Caenorhabditis elegans: one gene and its partners. The protein of the gene in region 2 interacts with the protein of the main gene of each other region in a pairwise test. Each region holds a gene or a part of one and is shown on either strand. Other genes may lie near its edges.

The links.
Region 1: the proteins of rec-8 (region 2) and snr-5 interact in a two-hybrid assay, tested with the Caenorhabditis elegans proteins (one large-scale study listed by BioGRID).
Region 3: the proteins of rec-8 (region 2) and T16G12.7 interact in a two-hybrid assay, tested with the Caenorhabditis elegans proteins (one large-scale study listed by BioGRID).

What each region holds. Positions count from the first base shown.
Region 1 is NC_003281.10:7,860,107-7,865,763, forward strand, and holds snr-5 (putative small nuclear ribonucleoprotein F), read left to right. Parts: upstream 1-1,963; 5' UTR 1,964-1,965; coding exon 1,966-2,062; intron 2,063-2,112; coding exon 2,113-2,215; intron 2,216-2,322; coding exon 2,323-2,380; 3' UTR 2,381-2,468; downstream 2,469-5,657. Other genes in the region: cuc-1 (Copper transport protein ATOX1), read right to left, coding at 499-626, 673-745, 825-833; putative transporter slc-17.3, read right to left, coding at 2,536-2,781, 2,834-2,987, 3,036-3,126, 3,171-3,303, 3,353-3,505, 3,679-3,812, 3,929-4,106, 4,152-4,385 and 4 more.
Region 2 is NC_003282.8:13,345,684-13,354,779, reverse strand, and holds rec-8 (Meiotic recombination protein rec-8), read left to right. Parts: upstream 1-1,586; coding exon 1,587-1,639; intron 1,640-1,688; coding exon 1,689-1,888; intron 1,889-1,933; coding exon 1,934-2,130; intron 2,131-2,178; coding exon 2,179-2,294; intron 2,295-2,736; coding exon 2,737-4,181; intron 4,182-4,678; coding exon 4,679-4,826; intron 4,827-5,298; coding exon 5,299-5,396; intron 5,397-5,450; coding exon 5,451-5,539; 3' UTR 5,540-5,658; downstream 5,659-9,096. Other genes in the region: Zinc finger protein mex-5, read right to left, coding at 1-322, 368-888, 937-1,050; W02A2.9 (Plasma membrane proteolipid 3), read right to left, coding at 6,205-6,324, 7,040-7,093; glr-9 (Solute-binding protein family 3/N-terminal domain-containing protein), read right to left, coding at 8,591-8,782, 8,855-9,004, 9,046-9,096.
Region 3 is NC_003281.10:10,037,054-10,043,887, reverse strand, and holds T16G12.7 (Serine/threonine-protein phosphatase), read left to right. Parts: upstream 1-3,790; 5' UTR 3,791-3,798; coding exon 3,799-3,841; intron 3,842-3,894; coding exon 3,895-4,009; intron 4,010-4,450; coding exon 4,451-4,793; intron 4,794-4,839; coding exon 4,840-5,265; intron 5,266-5,312; coding exon 5,313-5,345; 3' UTR 5,346-5,430; downstream 5,431-6,834. Other genes in the region: T16G12.1 (Putative aminopeptidase-2), read left to right, coding at 23-227, 279-471, 813-1,096, 1,147-1,395, 1,529-1,736, 1,785-1,879, 1,927-2,276, 2,332-2,466 and 3 more; M04D8.7 (DUF2700 domain-containing protein), read right to left, coding at 5,675-5,766, 5,817-6,030, 6,227-6,433.

The DNA of each region.
Region 1 (5,657 bases), on a different chromosome or scaffold from region 2:
AGCCTCCACTCATTGTTTTCTTCTTTTATTAATAAACAGTTAAAGTTTCCTTGAGAACAATGTGGTTGAGCAACGCGAACAAATCATCAATGTAAATTTCAGCGGATTCGTTACGACGTGTCTCACCACATCGTTAGTAGGATTTCAGAACACATTAAGTAGAAATCAAGAGACGCGGAATAGTGAAATGAAAATGCGACGTTTACCTTTCTGAGAAGGACGGTTACACCGGATGTACGCGTCGACGCTTTAATCTAATAAGGATAAGGTTCAATGCATGAAAAGGTGTTTACATTTGAAACCTTCTATTTCGGTTAAAAGAACTCGAATGAAATATTGCATCAGAAAATCTATAGTTTAGAAAATGCGTTTATTTTTAGAATAGGACAATTTTACAAGCAAGAGTCATAAATTAATACAAAAATTACAGAAATGTCAAAAAATAACGATATTCACAACCATTCGGATAGAAATTAAAGAGACAATCAAAAGGGTCATTTATTGTAGTTGCTTGATCTCTTTTCCTGTTTTCTTCAGAGCTTCAAGTACATCAGATGCTGGTAAATCAGTTGTAACTGTGATTTTCTTGGTTTCCACGTTAATATCGTCAATTTTGATTTTGTCTTCTGTAGAATAATAGGATTAATTTGATTAACAAAAAGTAAACCAAACCTCCAAGCTTTCCTAGAACTTTTCGCGCAGCATTTGCACAGCCATTGCATGTCATGCCCATTTCGAAAACGTACTGAAAATGTTCAAATTATTTTTTTTTTCACAAATATGAGAATATTTAATTGTAATTTGTAAAAAGTTAAATAATTTACCTGTGTCATGATATTTGTTGAGTCAGAAATCTGGAAACTCTGCTTCTGCTTGCCTGAAAAACGTTAATTTGAATGATTGGAATTAGTACAGTCGAAAAGAAATGAACAAAGAGACGCAAAATGGAGAGACAGTGATAGGGCGACTCGTGGTCAATGCTTTATCTCTGAGAATTTGCATCATTCGACATTTTTTGATCAAGTTTTCAAGAAACTGCGATAATTAAAAAAGGAACTATTGAGATGGGACAACTCGAATGGTTTAAGCAACTTTTAAATGTTTTCCAGTTTTTTTTTTTACTTTTTGGAAAAATTTATGGAAAAATGAGAAAGAAGCTTAGAAACAGGATAAAGACACCAAATGACGTCACAGCTTTGCATTAATGCATCTTCTCTATTTTCTCGGCGTCTCACTCATCTTCTACTTTGAAACGAGCGTTTTTATGGGGTGAGAAAATTATCGATTTTAAGGGTGATCAGTTAAAGAGAAAAATAAAGACGATAACATTTTGATGGAGCCTGTTAAATGTTGTGAATTGGAAGAAATAGAGCCTTATATAAAGAACTGTTTTATCATCTACAGTAGTCCGAAAGCCATTTAGCAGGATATTCGAGGCTGAAGAGAAGTTAACTATATTTAGATAGCATAACTTATTAAAACTCAAAAAGTACAAGGACATTGAAAAAGCGGAAAATACAAATACTCAGTTTAAATTAACTAAAAAACCAAAACCCACATCTTTTTCATGCATGATGCATGGGTATGATTAATTTTATGTCGTCAAGTATGGTGTCGCATACGCAGTCTGCAGTATGTCGTATTATCTGATGCTAGCGCAACTTTCGAAAATTCAAGGTTCTTTTTTCATTTTTATGGAGGATTTCGCAGCGTTTTAACCTTTTTAAATGTGTTTTGTTGAGTTTATGTTTATTAAAACAACTTTGTCACTATTAGAAAATAGATACATCTTTCCATCTCACTGAAAAAACCGTCAGATGGGTTTTAAACTTCTTAAATTGTTCAAACATAACAATTGTGATTCGGAAACGCTTTGAATGTATTTTTATTGCTTAAATTACTTGTGTCCTTCACTATTTTCGATATCCCTCGTTTCAAAATATATTATTTAAAAATATTTCAGAAATGTCCGCAGTTCAACCAGTGAACCCAAAACCGTTCCTCAACAGTCTCACCGGAAAGTTTGTCGTTTGCAAACTGAAGTGGGGAATGGAGTACAAAGGTTTGTATTGACATAATGAAATATTTCACCAAAAGCGCCAAATGTTTAAGGTGTCCTTGTTGCTGTCGACTCCTACATGAATCTGCAGCTGGCTCACGCCGAGGAGTACATTGACGGAAACAGTCAAGGAAATCTCGGAGAGATTCTTATCCGGTTGGTGCATTTTTTAAAAGAAAAAATTCAAGCCGTAGAAACTAAAGTTATTACAATCTTATGCACATTTATATCGTAGTAAATCTTGAAAAATGTTCTAACTTTAGATGCAACAACGTTCTCTACGTGGGAGGCGTGGACGGAGAAAACGAGACGAGTGCCTAAATTCTTCAAACCCTTCTCAACAATTGATCTTATGTTCACAAGTTTTCTGTCTTTTTCGCACATTCTTAATCAATAAATTATAATTATCTTATTAAAGAAGTTTTTAAAATATTTATTAAATGAAAAAAAAAATCATCAGCAAATTATGTAAATTATCAAAGACACAGCGAATCCTCTTTCACCAACGTGGCGCTCATTTCATTTTTGACATCTACTTCTTCAACAACTACAATACCATTCTCAATTGTCTTCAGCTTCTCTTTCTCATTCATCTCCTGATCATCCTCAACTTTAGCCCAATCTTGTAATTCTCCTGATCCGAATAACAAGAATATTGAACCAGAGAAAATATGTGCCAGTGAGCATCCTATGAAGATATTCTGCCACTCCGCAGCGGTTCCCTAAGAATATGGATAGCAAGTAGATTTGTCAAAAATCTCTAAAATAGCTTACGTCTTTTCTGAACATGCTCATGACTGCAGGAGTTGTCAATCTACCAATCATTGCAACAAACATTGAAATTGCAGACATGGTTGCAGTATATTGTGGTGCCAAACTGAGTAGTGATGTGTAAAATCCACTCACAAATGTTCCCATTGAGCTATACCTGAAGACTTTAAATTTGGAAAAGTCGCTGAAAAGTATCGAAACTCACATTAAACAGAAGAAAATAAGGCCAGTTGTTGGATTAGAGCAATCGACAAAGAATGCAAGTAAAATAAGTGAGAAGGAACTCCCAAAACTTGCTGAAATAAATACTATTTCTGGAAACTTGCAAAAATCAACTGACCAACACCATGTGATACCTTTACAGCTTTAGTATTACTGAGAATCTTATTTTCTTTTAATTTATCTATTCCAATACCCCAAACAACTTTGAATATCATATTGAAGATGTTGGGAATTGCAGTAAATGTACCATTCTGAAATGATTACAAATAAAAAATAATATTGAAATGTTGAGTGTCTTACAGCAATAACGCCCAAATGTAGAACTTCTTTGAAATATGAAGGCAAGTAAATTTGAAATAGTGTCATGAAAAGATTGACAAAGAAATGACATTGAAGTTGACCAAGAAATGCAGGAGAAGTTAGAATTTTAGAGTATGGAATCGAACGGGTTTTCTGAAAGTTTCAGAATAACATGATATGATTTTTATTCTAAAACTAGAGTGCTAAAACGTTTTCCTGTATGAGAAGATACTTTAATTTTTTTATTTTGTATTTTGTCTCGAAGTTATTTGGATTTCGAATTATTTACTACGGTAAGTACATTCCCAAAAAAATTTGTTACTCACTTCGGACTTGTGCACTTTCTTTACCACATTTGCCAATAAGTACTCTTTCTCCTTCTTTGTCATCATTTTTACTTTTGCCGGATGACTAGATGCTGTGAAGAACCAGAGAATCGACCATCCAGTAGCAAATATTCCTGGAAATAATTTAATATAATATGAAATCCAGGAAAAGTTGTCTGAATAAAAGTTTGAAGATTATTTAGGTAGAAAAATCCCGACAAAACTTAAGTTTTCAATTCCCTACACATACCAGCAAAATAAAAAGTAGCTGGCCATCCCAAATCAGATGCACAAACCGCTGCTACCATAGGACTTCCTGCAGCTGATGCAATTTGATTACCTAATGTAAAAATTGATAAAGCTGTGCTCTTTTCTGAGCTGGGAAACCAATTCCCAATAATTGCATTGTTCGTAGGAAATACAAAACCCTGGAACTTTCATAAGTATTTATTCTGCAACTGATCACATTGTACCTCTCCTAACCCCATTCCAATTCTTGCCAGGAAAACTGAAAAATATCCGAAATGTGTCGCCAAAAAAGGAGTTATTACGGTAACCAAAATGTAAAGGGCTACAGAAATTTGAAGTACGTGACGTGGAGAAAAGCGCTCAATGAAGAACATTGAAGGGAGTACTGTAATAAGTGATCCCCAAAATGTTCCAGAAAATATAAGATTTTGTTCGTAGCTGTTCCATACCAATTCACCCTGAAATTAGAATATACCAGATTCAAATAAGTAAAACAATTGTACCCCATAATCAACAACAACTTTCTTTTGCCCATCTTCATCCATCAAACCACATTGACCATTAGATCCCAAATTAATCTGAAAACAATACATACAAAATAAATCTGAATTCGTTTCACAAACCTCCTCTATAATAGAAATTTCAGAGACATTTGAATTTCCGGCCAATTTAATTTCATTTTCCACTGCTAAAGCAGTAGAATTAACCATACAAGTCATTGTCAGTGCAAAATGAATTCTCATAAAAGTTGTGCAGAAAAATCCGATCTGGAAAGAAAAAGTTACCAAAATTTTTGGCATATTGGTAAAAGTAATACTCACCATACATAGTAGAACAATATGAAGCCGCCGGGAAAATGGGTGAAATAAAGCTAAAATTGGGTAAAAGGTTTTTGAAGGAAGCATACAATGATTACATACAACTCGGAAGAGTTGTCAATTCATTGGGATATTTGATTGTCGAATTCGACGGGAATAAACTGCTTAATTTTAAAATCAGTTGGAAAAATTTTAGAAAAATTCTCACGAAGGACATTCCTCTTTTCAAAAAACGATCGAATTATGGCAGAAAATACAACTTACGGAATTTTTTTGCCATTTTGAAATGAGATTATAGAATTTATACGAATATTGAGATCAATAGGTTTATAAAAACTTTTTTACGAAATATATAAAATTTTCAACAAAAAACGAGTCAGTCACAACTTTCTCTGACCTGAAACACTCATTCTTCATAAATTCTTCAAATTGATTGTGCTCTTTGTGAGTAAATTCATCATTTTTTGATTATTTAAGAAACTAACGATTATTGTCAATGTAGTTTAAGAAATTTCAGTTCAAATGATAAGAAAATGATTTTTTCAGGTGGCTTGGATGTAGTCGTGTTTTATTATTTTTAAAGATTTTCTTGTATCTTTTGCAGAACAGTTTATTCTGAACCTTAAAAAATCGGGATGTACCTCCTCGTCCTTTCAATTTGTGTAAATCATCGAATGGTTGTAGTGAACAAGTCGATTTTTTCAATTCTCATTTTCTTATCAGCGATCTTTGAACAATGACATGATCAATTCCAAAAGCAGAAACTCTGTCCCGAAAGGAAAACTGAATTGCTTTTTATGATGAGCATTTGTGAACTACTCATGTTATGTAAAGAACGTTGAAAGATATATAATAACTCCCTATATTGTGATCTTTCACAGATGCTGGGAACGGATGGTAGTACCACAAAGA
Region 2 (9,096 bases):
CAGCTTTGTCTTGTACTTGTTGTTCGGATAGCGAGCCGGAGCATCAGTAGCTCTGAGCTCTTTGAGCCCATGAGCAAACTTGCATCGAGCACCCATATCACATGGTTTGATTCCAGATGCGTGCATCATGCAAAGACGAGTCTTGTAGTTGGGTGGTTGTTGACTGTCAGTTTCTGGAATTGGGAATCCACGACGACCGAACTTCTCGCCACGATGTTCATGGAAATGATTTTCCTTTTCAGCGCTCATCGTGTCATCGTTGTGATTGTCAAGGGTGATCTTTGAGATCTCATCGATCGGCAACTCGTCATGCTCCATAACACTGAAAAACATATAATTTTTATATTAAATTTCAAACTAATATTACCGATGATATCTGAATTGGATGTTCCTGTTGCGATTATCACGCTGAACAGTCTCGTATTCGAGACTTGTTGGAAGAGGAGTAGACGAGGTCAATGGAGCTGTGCGTGTGCTACTAATCTCCACTCCCACTTGTCTTGGCTGTTGTTGAGGTGGAATTGCCGGCTGCGTATGTGGCATCACACCCATTTGTTCTGGAAGCATCGGTGCGGCTTGCATAGGATGGAAGTACATTGGAGCCGCTTGTGGAGCCATTGATTGTTGATAATAGATGAGCTGTGGTTGTCCTGACTGCATGACTTGCTGAGCTCCTTGTTGTGGTTGAGCCATATAGAGATACGGTTGACCAGAAACCATCATGTGCTGTTGAGGAGCCATTGATCCGTTCGCGGGAACCTGCACATACTGTCCGTTGGCATCTTGATAATATGGAGCCGCTGGGGCGTACTGTTGAGAAGATCCATTTTGTGCCGCATACGTCGCCATTGGCTGGTTCGGCATGGCAGCCGCGAAGTAGTACTGCATCTGAAAAATATAACTGTAATATTATCAACATTTGTTGATTGTGAATACCTGTTGATCGTAGATTTGAGGATGTGACGACTGCCCTGGTGGTAGTGGTGGCTGGGTTGTCGTAGGTGACACTGATCCTCCGGCCGACGAGACACTATTTGATGCCGCTTTCATTCTCTGTCTGAAACATTCAATTGATTATCGATAAAATTAATTAAGAGAGAATACAATGAGAAAACGGAAAATCGAGCAGGATTTTGGGGAAAGTCGGGGAATTTTTGCTATTTAAGCTTTCTTTAACAAAGAAACTGCATTTTTCCATGAGATTACCATGAAATTTGCGTTAAATGGGTGAATTTATAACATTTACGGCTAGAAATTAATTTTAAAAAAGAGAATAAACGAAAAATTATTCGAGAAAACGTCTTTGAAGCAGAAATGAAATGAAAAAACAACCGCCAGCGCTGACAAAAATGATCAAACAAACGGAGTACGGTATACGCGGTAAGACCCAAATGAATTTTAATTCGGTGCGCCTTTAAAAAATGTATTTTTTTAATTTCTTTATCCGTGGGCCCAAATGTATTTTTTTCTTGTGGTTTGATGTAAAAATTGGGTTATATTATTTGTTTTATGGTTTAATTTTTTAAAAACTGATATTTTGCCGTTGTGAAAACCGTAAAATCAGTCGAAAATGTATTTTCTTGCAGATGGTTGTCTCTGCGGAAGTAATTCGAAAAGATGCCGTGTTTCACGTGGCTTGGTGAGTTTTCTCATCTTTTCAATCTAATTTATAATTTCTGCTTTTCCAGGATTCTTGGTACCGGCGACTCGAAAAAGCTGTCACGAAGAGAGATTTTGGACCAAAATCTCCCGGAACTGTGTCATTCAATCATTGAAATGGTTCCCGAACGGCACAGGGGCTCAGCAACAAAAACTGGACTTTATTTGCTATCCCTGCTCACATATGGAACAGTTTTGATCCATCAAGTTCAGGTTGATTTCTTGAAACGTGAGTTGGAGAATTGTATCGTCAGAAATCAATTAATATTTTCAGGAGACGTCGAGAAGCTCAAAGAGCTCATGAAGAAGAAAAGTTTCATTTTGCTGATGGCTGAAAGGTTCGACAGAAACCAAGAGTTGCAGAGAAAAGAAGATAAATTCGCAAGACTGAGATCTAAGCCTATTATGTGCGTCGAGGAGTTGGATCGGGTTGATTTGGCTCATTTACAAGCAATTGGCGACGAATTGGGAGTGAGTTCAAGTTAATTAAATAATCAATAATCAAGAATATTCTTCTAGATCAATGGAAATCCAGGAGACTTTATAATGATGGATGCGTTGCCCAACATGAATCAGTGGATTGACAATAATTCAGAATTGAATGCGATCTATGGATGTGTTGAGCCTTACCTGAGGTTCGGAACTGAATAATCGATCCCAGATTTTGAAAAAAAGCAGCGACGCACATGAACCCTGCGGCACGGTTTTTCACCTTATTTCAATAAAATTTCGATTTTCCTTGATTTATTCGCATTTTGCGTATGAAAATGCTATCCAATTAAATTTGCATAAGATTGCGAGGATATTTCCTGTTTTTACAACCAATGAAGCTCTAAATATCCTTATAATCTTATGAGAATTTATGCGGATTGCATTTCCATTCGAAAAAAAGAGAATAAACCAATTACAATCGAAATTTTATTTTAAAAAAATCAACAAAAGCTCTGAAAAAACCGTGCCACAGGGTAGAGAAATTACACTCCGCCTCTATTTCTGTGCGACATTGCTTTTTGCAAAATTGATGGATTGATAGTTTAATTTTAAATTAATTTCAAAAGTAAAATTTTCGTGTTTCAGAGAAAAAGAAATCACCATGCACTCCACGTTTGTCGAGGGTAACGGTTCAAATGAGCACAACAAGGAACGACGAAATGACGCGGTAATTGCCGACTTCAGCCAACTTTTGTTCCCTGAGATCCCTGAAATCACACTTGGCGAGAAATTTCCGATAGATGTCGATTCCAGAAAACGATCTGCTATCCTCCAGGAAGAGCAAGAAGAGGCTCTTCAGCTCCCCAAAGAAGCTTCTGAAATTGTGCAAGAAGAGCCTACAAAATTTGTCTCTATTGCTCTGCTCCCGAGTGAAACCGTGGAACAACCAGCACCCCAGGAGCCTATTCAAGAGCCCATTCAACCAATTATCGAGGAGCCCGCGCCACAGCTTGAGCTTCCACAGCCAGAGCTTCCACCACAACTAGATGCAATTGATCTTGTCACCATTCCAGCGAGTCAGCAGGATATGGTTGTTGAATATCTTCAATTGATCAACGATTTACCCGATGACGAGAACAGCCGACTGCCACCATTGCCGAAAGATTTAGAATTGTTTGAAGATGTAATTCTACCACCTCCAGCAAAGAAATCAAAAGTCGAAGAGGAAGAAGACGCGTTGGAAAGAGCACGAAGAAGACCATCATCGCGTCCAGTAACTCCGATTAATCAAACCGATTTGACAGATCTTCATTCAACTGTGCGACCGGAAGATCCGAGTTTCGCAATAGACTCCCAAATTCATGATGTTCTACCTCAACGGAAAAAATCGAAACGCAATCTGCCGATCATCCACAGCGATGATCTGGAAATCGACGAAGCTGTGCAAAAAGTGTTACAAGCCGATTATTCCTCACTGGTTCGTAAGAAGGAGGATGTAATAGCAAAGATTCCACCAAAAACGGATGCAGTCGCGGTGCTCATGAACTTACCAGAACCAGTTTTCAGTATCGGATATCGTCTTCCTCCAGAGGTTCGGGATATGTTCAAAGCTTGTTATAATCAAGCTGTTGGAAGTCCAGTGAGCGATGATGAAGAGGATGAAGATGAGGAAGAAGAGGAAGAATATAAATATGCAAAAGTTTGTCTTCTGTCTCCAAATCGCATCGTTGAGGATACTCTACTTCTAGAAGAGCAACCTCGTCAACCTGAAGAATTTCCATCTACGGATAATATCAACCCGCCAAGACAGCTACAGGAGAATCCAGTTTTTGAGAATTTGGAATATGAAGCGCCCCCGCATCCAATAAGAACTGCTCGTACGCCCACGCCGATCAAAGATTTGAAATATTCAGTTATTAGTCTGTTCCCAACTCCAGAGAAACGCCGGGAGACGAGCATCATTGCTGAACTGAATTTGGATCCTATTCCAGTTGAAGAAATTGATCCACTTTTGACGATGAGAACCGAAGAAGAACTTGAAAATGTTCGACGCCGTCAAAAAAGCAGTTTAGGGGTTCAATTTATGAGAAGTGAGATATTTTAATGTCGATTTAGTGTTGAAAATAATTTTTGCCGAAAATTGCCGAAAATGTTTAAATTGGGCAGTTCTCGAATTACCAAAAAAAAATTCCAATTTTCGGAATAAAAGGTCAAAAATGTTTCGATTTTTTCCTCGAAAATCGAAAATTCTTACATTTTCAGAGAATGAACGATAAAAATCACATTAAATCATAAAATCAATTTTTTTTTTGCTCATAAAAAAAATAAGAAAACATATAATTTTATTCTTTAGAATATCTTGGATTTCTTTAGGTAGAAAATGACCAAAATTGTTTTAAAAAAATAAGCAAACCGATGGTTTGTGTCGGGCTTTTGGTTTTTTTTTTACTAAAGTAAAAAACATTATTTTTGGATTTTTGAAAAATCGAGAATTTTCGTTGTTCGATTTTTTTGTTATACTCGCCGATTATTTTTCAAACTTTCGGTTGTCGCCCCCACTTTATAGTTTAAAATAAAATATTTTCAGCTGACGATCTGGAAGAGGATACTCGCCGTAATCGACTATTCGAGGATGAAGAACGGACTCGAGATGCTAGAGAAGATGAACTATTCTTCTATTCATCTGGAAGTCTCCTTCCCAATAATCGGCTCAACATCCACAAGGAATTGCTCAAGTGTGTATACTAACACTAAAACAGAAAGATCGACCTGCAAATTTTGCAAGGCGCCGCACACAAAATGAGGCGGAGCGTCGTTTTTTTAAACTTGCGGCTCGCCAGCCATTGTGGAAAACTGTAAATAAATTTTTGTCTAAAATGCTTGATTTCGGATAATTTTCGCTTATTTTTTTGTGTTTAATATTCGAAATAATCTAAAAATTTGGAGTTTATTCAACGAAAATTTGCCATTTTCGCCGGAAAAATACCATAAATAGTCAGTTTATTTCGAATATTAACAACAACGAAATTAGCGAAAATATTCCGAAATCCAGAATTTTCGCGAAAAATTATTTCATAGTTGTCCACGAGCCGCAGGCTTGCAGAACAACACCCCGCCTCTTTTTCTGTGCGACGCATTGGCAGGTCAATCGCTCAGTTTTGATCGTAATTGGAACTACGAAAAATCAAAAAAAAATCAATTTTTCAGCGAAGCAGAAGCAAGATATCCAGAATGGGTGAATTTCAATGAATTCACTGCGGATCACGATCGTAAAAAGGCAGCAACCGCCTTTGAGGGCCTTCTTTGTAAGATATTTAGTCGTTGAGACACAAATTAAAATAAAAATAAATATTTTTCAGTGAGTCTCAAGAATATGAAGGTTGAAGCGAAGCAAGAAGATCCTTATTTTCCAATTCTAGTACGTCACATCAGCCACGAAGAAATGTGAAGCTGCTAATATAATTGATACTGTATCATTTCCCAATTTTTCATAGCTTCCATTGTTTTGTTGTATTTTATTGCTTTGCCTTGTTCGTTAATCTTTAAAACTGAAAACTACTGTACCATTCATTTTTTTAACTTTTTTTCCTGTTGTTAAACGACTCTAGCTAGGGCTGTTATGAGGGACGAAAAGGGGCGCCCCTCGTCCCCTCGTGGGGGCGCTTCCTTCATCCAGTGCGAAAAATGTGCGTTTGTATCCTCCATGTCGATAGCAAAACAAGTTATGATTTTGCTTCATAATTATTAAAGTGACACGTTTTTTGTGTGGAATATCCACGATGGACCCGCACAATTTAACGGAAACGAGTTTCACGTAAAAATATTTTAAATGAGGTGAATATCTAATATAAGTAAAAATGAATAGGACGCGACTTTTCGTCACATCGGGGACGAGGGTCGTCCCCCATCCCCCAACCAGGGGACGGGGGCGTCCCTCGCCCCCATGAGGGGGACGAATGATCGCCCCCGCCCCCCAAAAAGGGACGTCCCTCATAACAGCCCTAACTCTAGCTAATAAAAATTGGTAGGAAATACAAAATATTAATTTATGAAAACGTGAATAATATGACCCGGGTGAGTATATAAAATATAATTATTTATATGAAATCAAGGTTAGTACCAACAAATAATGAAGCAAGCGTGGATGACTCCGGGTATGAAGCCGAGAATTGTGAGCACAATATTGATGACCAAGTCGGCTCCGCATCCTTTTTCCATCCAAACACCAATTGGCTGCAATTTGAAACTTTTTTTCGAATTTTTGAATACCTGCGCCTTTGAACGCTACAGCTTTACAGTTTTAAATGAAAATTGCATTTATTCAAAAGTGTTGTGCACGCGCCTTTAAAATTACTGTACTAAACCCAAAATTTTACAATTTTTGCGTCAAAAATACTGTACCCGGTCTCGACACGATAACTTTTTGTTATTTGAATGCGCCTTTGAAGGCTACTGTAATTAGAAAATTTCGTTTTTGCGCAGGTTTTCTCAGGATTTGTTTTAAAAATGGTATGGTTATGTTTTTACCTATGTTTTTTTGGAAAAACTATGCAAAATCGAGGAGCAACTAAATTTTGAAGTTACAGTACTCTTTAAAGGTGCACACCTCTTCCCATTGAAAAAATTGTCGTGTTGAGATCGTTTACCGTATTCCTGGCGTAAAAATCGTAAAGTTTCGCGTCTAGGTAATAGAACATTCAGGTCCCAATTTTTAATGATTTTTTTTCTAGTTTTTTTTCACAAACGTATTTAAATAAATAAATGCATGTGGTGTCAGGCTGTTCCATCACGGTTTGATCTACAAAGAATGCGGGAATTTTTTTTTCAAAAAAGTGACGTCAGCACGCTCTTAATCATGCGGAATCAGTTGAGAAGTCTGCGATTAAATTCCCGCAATTTCCGTGATTATATCTGACAATGAAAATTTTTTCAAAACGCTAACACTTACTGGGAGAAGAAGAGCACAGATGAATTTCGGGATATCGGTGCAGGTAATTGGCATGTTGGTTTGTTGGTTAGTAGAGCTGGAATACTTTTAAAAAATTGAAAACAAATAAGAAATTTATTCACAACGAGGTATCAAGACAATGAAAAAGAATGAGAAGAAGAGCTGTTGTGTGGGTTGTTTTATTGTCTTTTTATTTATACAATAGAAGAGGAGAGTACGTACTGATAATATTATGGCATCTGATAAGATATCGATTTGAATTCAAAAAAAATAAATGATGTGTATGCCTGCCTGACTAATAATGCTCTTATCAGGTCACAATTTGGTTTCTTGTACTCGTTGTGTTGACATGGAAAATGAGAATGACGAATGTATATGTGACTTCTAGGAATATGATTCATTTGCAAACATTTAAAACTTTAAGTTTTCTCTAGTTTTGCACTTTTTAAAAGAAAAGAGAATGCAATTTTTTTAATATTTAAAGTTTCCGCAGAGGCACTCGTAGTTTTAAAAAATTCTACAGAGTTCGCGAAATCGTTAGAATCTCGAAAACATAAGTATTATGAAAATTAGGAAAAGGCGAAATTTCTCTTACTATTAGAAAAGGTATACTATAAATGCTATATGCTATAAATAGTATACTATTCTATATTCGATGTAAGCAGCCATGAGTAAACTATTACGAAAAAAGTGTTCATATTATATAAATCTATCCGACAGAATTTATTAGAATACTGCAAAACATTATGTGAAATACACACTAGCCAAGAAAAGAGCGGCGCCTAATAAGTATAAACCGCAACAGGTTTTTTATTTTGAAAAAAAGGCGTTTCAAAATTTCCTGAAACATTTTCGCCGTTGTATCTGAAGCTTATTAAATAAATGGAATGCATGATTTTTCCAAAAAATTTTTCAAGTGCTCTAGTATCAAATTCAAGGACACTCCAAAGGAGTCAGGTCGTTGAAACCTTTTTACTCGAAGGTGAGAGTCACGAGAGGTCTGATAAGCTGCTTTCAAATTTTCAAATGATAAAACTTTTGAACTTCAAGTTTACACTTATTATATATATATATAACTTTCAGAAAAATTTTGGAAAAAATAACATTTTTTAAAGAGTTTCCCTGGACTCAGGGGTGCACAATCGAATTTTGGCAATTTTTCGGCAATTCGGCAAATATTTTAGAACCCGGCAATTGCCGGAATTGCCCATAGCCATAAATCAAAATTGCCCGAAATATCCAAAACAGGCAATTGCTGAAATTGTCGATTTGCCGGAAATTTTGAAAACCTGCAATTGCCGTACTTTAACTTCTAATACAAGAACAAAGGAAATTTCAGAGCAAAATGTATTACAAATCAAAAAGAGTTTAAAATTCCATCAAACTGATGAAAATAAGTGCCGAAAATGGTTGAACTGATAACTTGTCGAAGGGTGGAGAGGAAGGATTATAAGTAGAGAGAGTGTGTCTCGGAGAGGATGAATCATGTGACACAAACATTAAAAAGTGTTTAACAAATGTAAATAAATGAATCATCAATAAGTAAAGATTTCACAATGTGGAGGTATCGGATGACGATGAAGTGGCATTAAATGCATCAACGAGACGCATAACATCAATGTCCGAATATTGCTCGTGTGTCGTGAAATGTATTTGGGCAATACGTGCCAGGTTACGTACATTCCATGGATCACGCATACGGGCACGACGGGCAAGGATACGAACATGCCAGTAGTGGTATATCTGAGATAGATTTGAAGATATTATTTTTTTGGAAGCGTTATTGGAAAATCGAGTAAAATTTAATTCTCCTACCTCAAAAACAAAAACCATTAGAGAAGCAGCAACCCCCAATGCTCCAATTGTAAATACACCAATCACGGACTCAATATCCAATGGTTTTGTTGCATCCGAAGCAGTTGGTTCAGTTACTTCACATTTTGGAATAAAACCCAGTTTGAAGCCCTGAACTGACTTGGATTAAAAATCGTTTATTTCAACGTCACCTCATTGAAATATTTATTGAACGTTCGTTGTATAAACGCCTGATTCATAAT
Region 3 (6,834 bases), on a different chromosome or scaffold from region 2:
CTCATTATAAGTAGTATTCCAGATGGATATTTACAACTGACTTTGAAGGAGGTCCAGGCGCCCGTTCACTTCTCCCATGTTGGGATGAACCAAGCTATAAGGGACAATTTGAAGTAAGCGTGTTCCATCCAACCGACATGATTGCTTTGTCAAATGAAGTTGATATTCAAAGAACAATTTATGACAACGGATGGACCACTACCAAATTTGCAACAACAAATCAAATGGTGAGCTGAAAAACCTTTTTCATAAATAAAACACTTTCCCAACTTTTTCAGTCAACATATCTTCTTGCTCTCTGTGTTGGCCACTTCTCAAATCTGGCGACCGTAACACGAACAGGTGTCTTAACAAGAGTTTGGACATGGTCTGGAATGGAACAATATGGAGAATTTGCACTCAATGTCACAGCAGGAACAATTGATTTTATGGAAAACTATTTCAGCTACGACTTCCCGTTAAAGAAACTCGGTAAATTTGTGTTCAGATGTGTCAGAAATTACTTGACAAATAATTGATACTAGCCATTTGCTGGCAATTTTTAGTGCGAAGTCTGAGCCCAAAAAGTTTAAATTGGAGTTGAAGTTGGCAAAAGTTGGGTTGCACCTTTTTTGGAAAAAATGTTTTTTTTAATTTAAAATAAGTCTCGTTTAAAATTTGTAACCATAAGAAATACATTGAAAAGAACAGGATCAAACTTGAAAATTCTTGGCAAAATCGTACCCAACTGTTGCAAAATTGAAGAATGCATTCAAGATTTAGTTCAAGATTTGGTTCAAGATTTCACGCTCAAATTGAATACCACATTTCAGATGTCATGGCACTTCCGGAGTACACGATGAATGCTGGTGCAATGGAAAATTGGGGACTTATCATTGGAGAGTACAGCCTGTTCATGTTCGATCCTGACTATGCAACAACTCGAGATATAACAGAAGTAGCTGAAACAACAGCTCATGAAGTTGTGCACCAATGGTTTGGCGATATTGTAACCCTTGATTGGTGGAATGATATCTTCCTAAACGAAGGATTCGCACAATACTGGTTTGCCAATGGAATCGATAACACATTCCCAGAGCAACATGCCTATTCGATCGTAAGAAGCTACTTAAAGTTGTCTTTTATTGAAATTCATGTTTCTTCCAGGACTATAACCGTTTCTACATGAACCATATTGCACTAAAATACGACTGTATTCCTGGAGTTGCTAAACCAGTCATCAGTGATACTCCACCAGTATTTGGAATTGAACCATACTACAAAGGAAGTGCTCTTTTGAATCTGCTCAACAATGTTTTGACTCCAGCAGTTTTCCAAGAAGGATTGTCTAGTTATCTAACACAATATGGATACGTTAATGCTAGTCCGAGAAATTTATGGACTTCTTTGACTGTGGTAAGCGTGCAAAATGAAGCAACGGACAAATTTCTTCTATTTCTTCACTATATTTAAAAAAATCTTTAGTTTCCATGCCAAAAATTTGTCAAAAATTGGCCAAGATTTACTTTAGTAAAAGTACAATTTTCAGGCTGCACAAAGACACAATATAACCGATTGGAATGGTCAACCTCTAGATGTATCTTCATTTATGGACCCCTATACTCTTCAAACCTCATATCCAATCATTACCCTCACTCTTCGTGGAACATCTACAGTTCAAGCTAACCAACAATCATGTATGAGCGATGAAACTCTCTGGAATGTGCCCCTTTTTACTCAAACCCCCGGGGCACTAGGTAAGAAATGAAATTCTTCTGTACATATAAGCATCTATAAACTTTCAGACTTCAACTGGTTTGTGAATTTCACCGGTGGAAACGATGCAACTTGGCTTCGACCATTGCCAACTGGTTACCGAGTTGATAATGCGGGTAGTACGGTATGAAAAGTGTAAAGTTTTGTAGAAATAATACATAATAATTTCAGAGTTTCGCTAGAATAAACTACGATGATAAGTCCTGGTATAGCATTCAGGCTCAACTTCTCTCAAATATGAACACAATGTCTTCTACGACAAGAGCAATGCTGCTCGATGATGCTAACTTTTTCTATCAGTCTGGCCGCTGGGAGATGACAAAATTCCTGGATTTGACATTGTATCTTGTAAACGAGGATTCACTTGCACCATGGGAACAGGCTATCGAGTTCTTCACTGAAATGTTAAATAGATTCCAATACCAACCAGAAATTGATACTGTAAGAAACTATGTTATTCAAATTACGAAAAACGCAGTGTCCAAGTTCCAATGGAACACGAATGGCCTTTGGGCAAACGAGTAAGTTGGTTTCAAAAAGTTAAGAAAAACATTGTTCTCTAAATAAATTTTTCAGTCGAATTGTACAACTCCTAGTAAACGTCAATAACTTGGCTGTTAATCGACAATCTAGGCAGGTTGCTCTAACTTTGTTCAACAACTTTGTATTGAAATGCAAGTACTCGCTTTCTGGAACTGGAAAGTGCTCAGGGTAGTTTTGAAAGAAGTAATATATCAATTGAGAATTTATTTCCAGAATTCATCCAAATCTTCGACAACCCACTTATTGTTATGGCCTTCGTCAAAGTAATAATATCGATGATTTTACAACAGTGAACAACCTATACTCGTGGTTTGTACAAAATGCTGGCTACTTGCAAACAGATGGATCTAATCTTTTGAATGCTCTGGGATGCGTACAAAATCTTGATTTGCAAAAGACGTTAGTTTAAGGTTTAATTGTCAAGTTACTAATTCAAAACAATAGTAAGACAAAACTTCCTATAACAAAGCTTTGTTGGAAGATTGACAACGATTTCCATTTTTCAAATAATTGTGCCAATTTTCCCGAAAAATTCAACATTTTGCAACATGAAAAATGTTGAATTTTTTGGGAAAATTAAAGATTGCTTGGCTTTTTTTTGATCAGGAAAAAATTGTCAACGTCTCAAAATCTTACTAAAAATTGGAATATTTTTGTCGGAGATGTTGTACAGATTTTACTGCAATTTTGGAAAAATTTAATTTCATAGTATATTTTTATCACGTTATAACAAAAATTGCAAAATTGCAGTAAAATCTGTACAACATCTCCGACAAATATATTCCAATTTTTAGTAAGATTTTGAGACGTTGACAATTTTTTCCTGATCAAAAAAAGCCAAGCAATCTTTAATTTTTAAAAAAAATAAAAACATACATAAGGGGATCCTTTGACTCAAGAAAAAAATAATTCATGCAATTTTCAGAATGCTTCGATCAATTCTGAGTGGAGATTATCCACCATCACTTCTCAATTCAATTGCAGTTCATGATGATTCATCAGATGTTCTTTACAATTTCTTGCTGGATAATACTCAAGATGTACTCACCAGTATCTCATAATTTATCTATATTAAAATCCAAATTTTCAGATTCTCAATGCTCCGTTTGACTTCTCTCTATACGTCAAAGCCATGTTCCAAAATTGGTCAACTTCAAACCAACTAGAATTGGCAAAGGATTTCCAGAATTCTTCCAATTATAATCTTCTTAATGCGGCTCAAAAGAACATTTATAAACAAGGAATTTTAACAGTTAATAGCAATGCCAACTGGATGTTGATCTACAAAACTCCGTTCCTTGAGTGGATTCAGAAGAATTTTGGAGCACCTAATTTGTAAATGTTGAATATTTTCTAGTATTATTTAGCAATTGAAAATAAATTTTAAAAAATAAATAATTAAACGTGTATTGCTATTTTTATTTTTATTTTTTTAAACGTTTTTTTTGCGATCTCCTCCCCCCAAACCAAGATATCAATTTATTTTTCAATTTGTCGAGAATGGCAAACAACCGTTCAACCTATGGAAACGTCAACAATAAAAGTAAGATTTTTTGCAGTTTTTCAGATTTCTCTCACTTCAGAAATTAATTTCAGGTGATCTAAATGTAGACGATATAATTGTAAAAATCCTGAACATTGGATCAGGCGGGAACAATTTCGAAGCAATTATGAGCCAGAAGACACTTGTTTCCTTGTTGGATGCAGCCAAGTAAGAATAAGCCGTGTGCCTGAAGGATGCCTGCCTGCCTACGTTTTATCTACTTGCATATTTACGTCAATACTTTATGCCCACCTTTTACCTACCTCATGACTACTTCAAACCTATTCAAATGCTTACTGAAGGCTTTTCTACGTGCCAGCCTACCTGCCTACCTACATGTTTTCTACTCACGCGAGACAGCCTATGGGCCTTTCTGTGCCTGTCTACGTGCCTACTTGAAGTCTATACCTTTCCTACCTATCTACGGGTCCTCCTAGGAGCCTTCGGCATGTCTGTCAACGCGTGTACCTAAGTGTCTACGACTGACTGCTTTAGGAAAATGCCTATATGTTTTGGCAAGAATAAGGAATGGAGCTTCGGACGCTTTTTTGTCCGTTTCCACACTTCTAGTTTGGAAAATAATAATTTTATACAATCTATTTTTTTCAGGGATGTATTCATGAAACAAGGTGCAATGCTCGAACTTGAAGCTCCTGTGAAGATCTGTGGTGACGTACATGGTCAATATTCGGATGTTCTTCGCCTTTTCGATCGTGGAGGATTCCCACCATTGGTCAACTACTTGTTTCTGGGGGATTACGTCGATCGCGGACAACAAAGTCTAGAAGTTGCCTGTCTGTTCCTGGCCTACAAAGTCAAATTTCCCGGGAACTTCTTCATGTTACGCGGGAATCACGAGTGCGGATCCATTAACCGTGTCTATGGATTTTTGGATGAAGTTCAACGGAAATATGGAGCAAAGGGTGGAACAACAATGTGGAATTGCTTTCAAGTTAGTGTTTTGATTTTTAAAATTAAATTTAAAATGTTTGTTCCAGATTTGTTTTGCGTATATGCCGTACACTGCTCTGGTCTCCGGAAGAATTCTTTGTATGCACGGTGGAATCAGTAAACGGATGAACAATTTGAATCAACTTCGCAATCTTCAAAGACCGGTTTTAGAAGTCGCTAATCCGAGCGTCGAAATAGATATCCTCTGGTCAGATCCTGACTCAACAGTTGATGATTTTGTGGACAGTACCCGTGGAGTTGGTCAAGTTTTTGGAGCAAAAGCATTGACAGCTATAATGAATAAACTGGACGTTGATTTGGTTGCACGTGCACATCAAGTAGTTCAAGATGGATATGAATTCTTCAACAACAAACGTCTTGTCACAATTTTCTCAGCTCCTCATTACTGTGGAGAATTTGACAATGCGGCTGCGATGATGAATGTTGACAAGAACTTGACTTGCTCCTTCCAGGTAAATTTTAGAAAGAATGAAAAGAGTATTAAATTATTTCATTTCAGATCATGAGACCCTCCATCGATGCAAAAAAGTGAACTACAAGTGAAGAAAGCAAAAGAATTCTCAATTTATGCATGTATTTTATTTCTGTGAAAATATTTTGAATAAATTTGAAATTCTAAAGCTCAACATAATAAATACATATTTTTTACCCAGCTTTCAATTGATTAACATATCTACTCGCCTTTTCCTGCCTACGTGCCTATTCACCTACACTTCGCATGTATTTTCTTGAAAATCCATTGATTATCCGAATGCCGGAAGCCCAATATATGTCAGCTTAATTTGGAGTCCTAGTACATTTAATTTTACAAGAATGTGAAAGATTTTGTTAACAATAGTTTATTCCTTTCAAATCAATGATTTATGGAGCCTGGAAACCCCCGGTGTGCATTAGGGTCCAGTTGACTTCGGATAGCCAGATTCTGCTCACAAGAATGTACTTGAAGAGCTCAACTGAAAATTCAATTTTTGTTGGTTTTTTAATACCTAATTCTTTCAAATACCCGCAATAAAGAACGCGGCTCCAATTTCAACACAGAACCCGGCGACGACCCCGAAAACAAAGCGAAAGTCTGGGGAAGTCATATTTCCGTAATGTTCAGGACGAAAATGAGTTCCGTTCTTTTCTATTGCTTCTATTTCTCCCGATGCAAAGAAGCTGGCAGACACGACTGGGAACAGTAGAAATGGGATCACTGATAGAATTGTTGCAGTCATCTCAAAAATTGAGAATTTGTTGGTTGGTTAGCAGGTGATTTTGTTTCAAAACTTTGGCCATATTGACATCATACAGAACACTAGATATTCAACTAGAAAATTGCTCTGATTTTTATACTTAAAACTTATAGTCAGAGCTTCTGAATTGGTTTAGAAATCGCGCCTCTCTTTAAGAGCATGGAGCAAAAAATCTTACAGTGAGTCTTTGAGCCCATTTGAGGTGTTTAACGTCTCGCTTGGCAACGGCGAAAATCAAGAAACCATTGAAGAATAGGTAGGCAATTGGAATCAGAGACAGGAAAATGCCGTGAGGGCCATAGTAAAATTGAGCTCCTGAACGAAGGATTCCGGCCGATGCGAGAGCATAAATCACTGGACGAATTGGTAGGCACCCAATTTTCATGACGGCTGAAACGGCGTTGTCAGTTAAATTGTACTTGATAAAACAGCAAATAAATTATAAACACTAAGAATTATAATGGCGATTGAAGAAGACAAAAAAAAGTTTATCTGAAAACGAAAGGCGGAGCTTTTCAAGTTTTCAAGAAAATGAAGTCAGGTGTATATGATTATAGGTTATGTTCATCACCATAGTAACCCATCGACCAACGTTCATTCAAAAAACTGAAAAAAAGGTTTATTCAAGCATGAGGAAATGATTGGGCCAAGAAAATTTGCGAACAAATTAATTTACGAACAACACTTCGCTACGAGATATTCGAGCGCAGAAAGCAATCCATTCTCTTGATCTGCGCACAGAAAAGGGAGACGAGTCCCAGTCGAGCGAGGAGAAACGAGAATGAA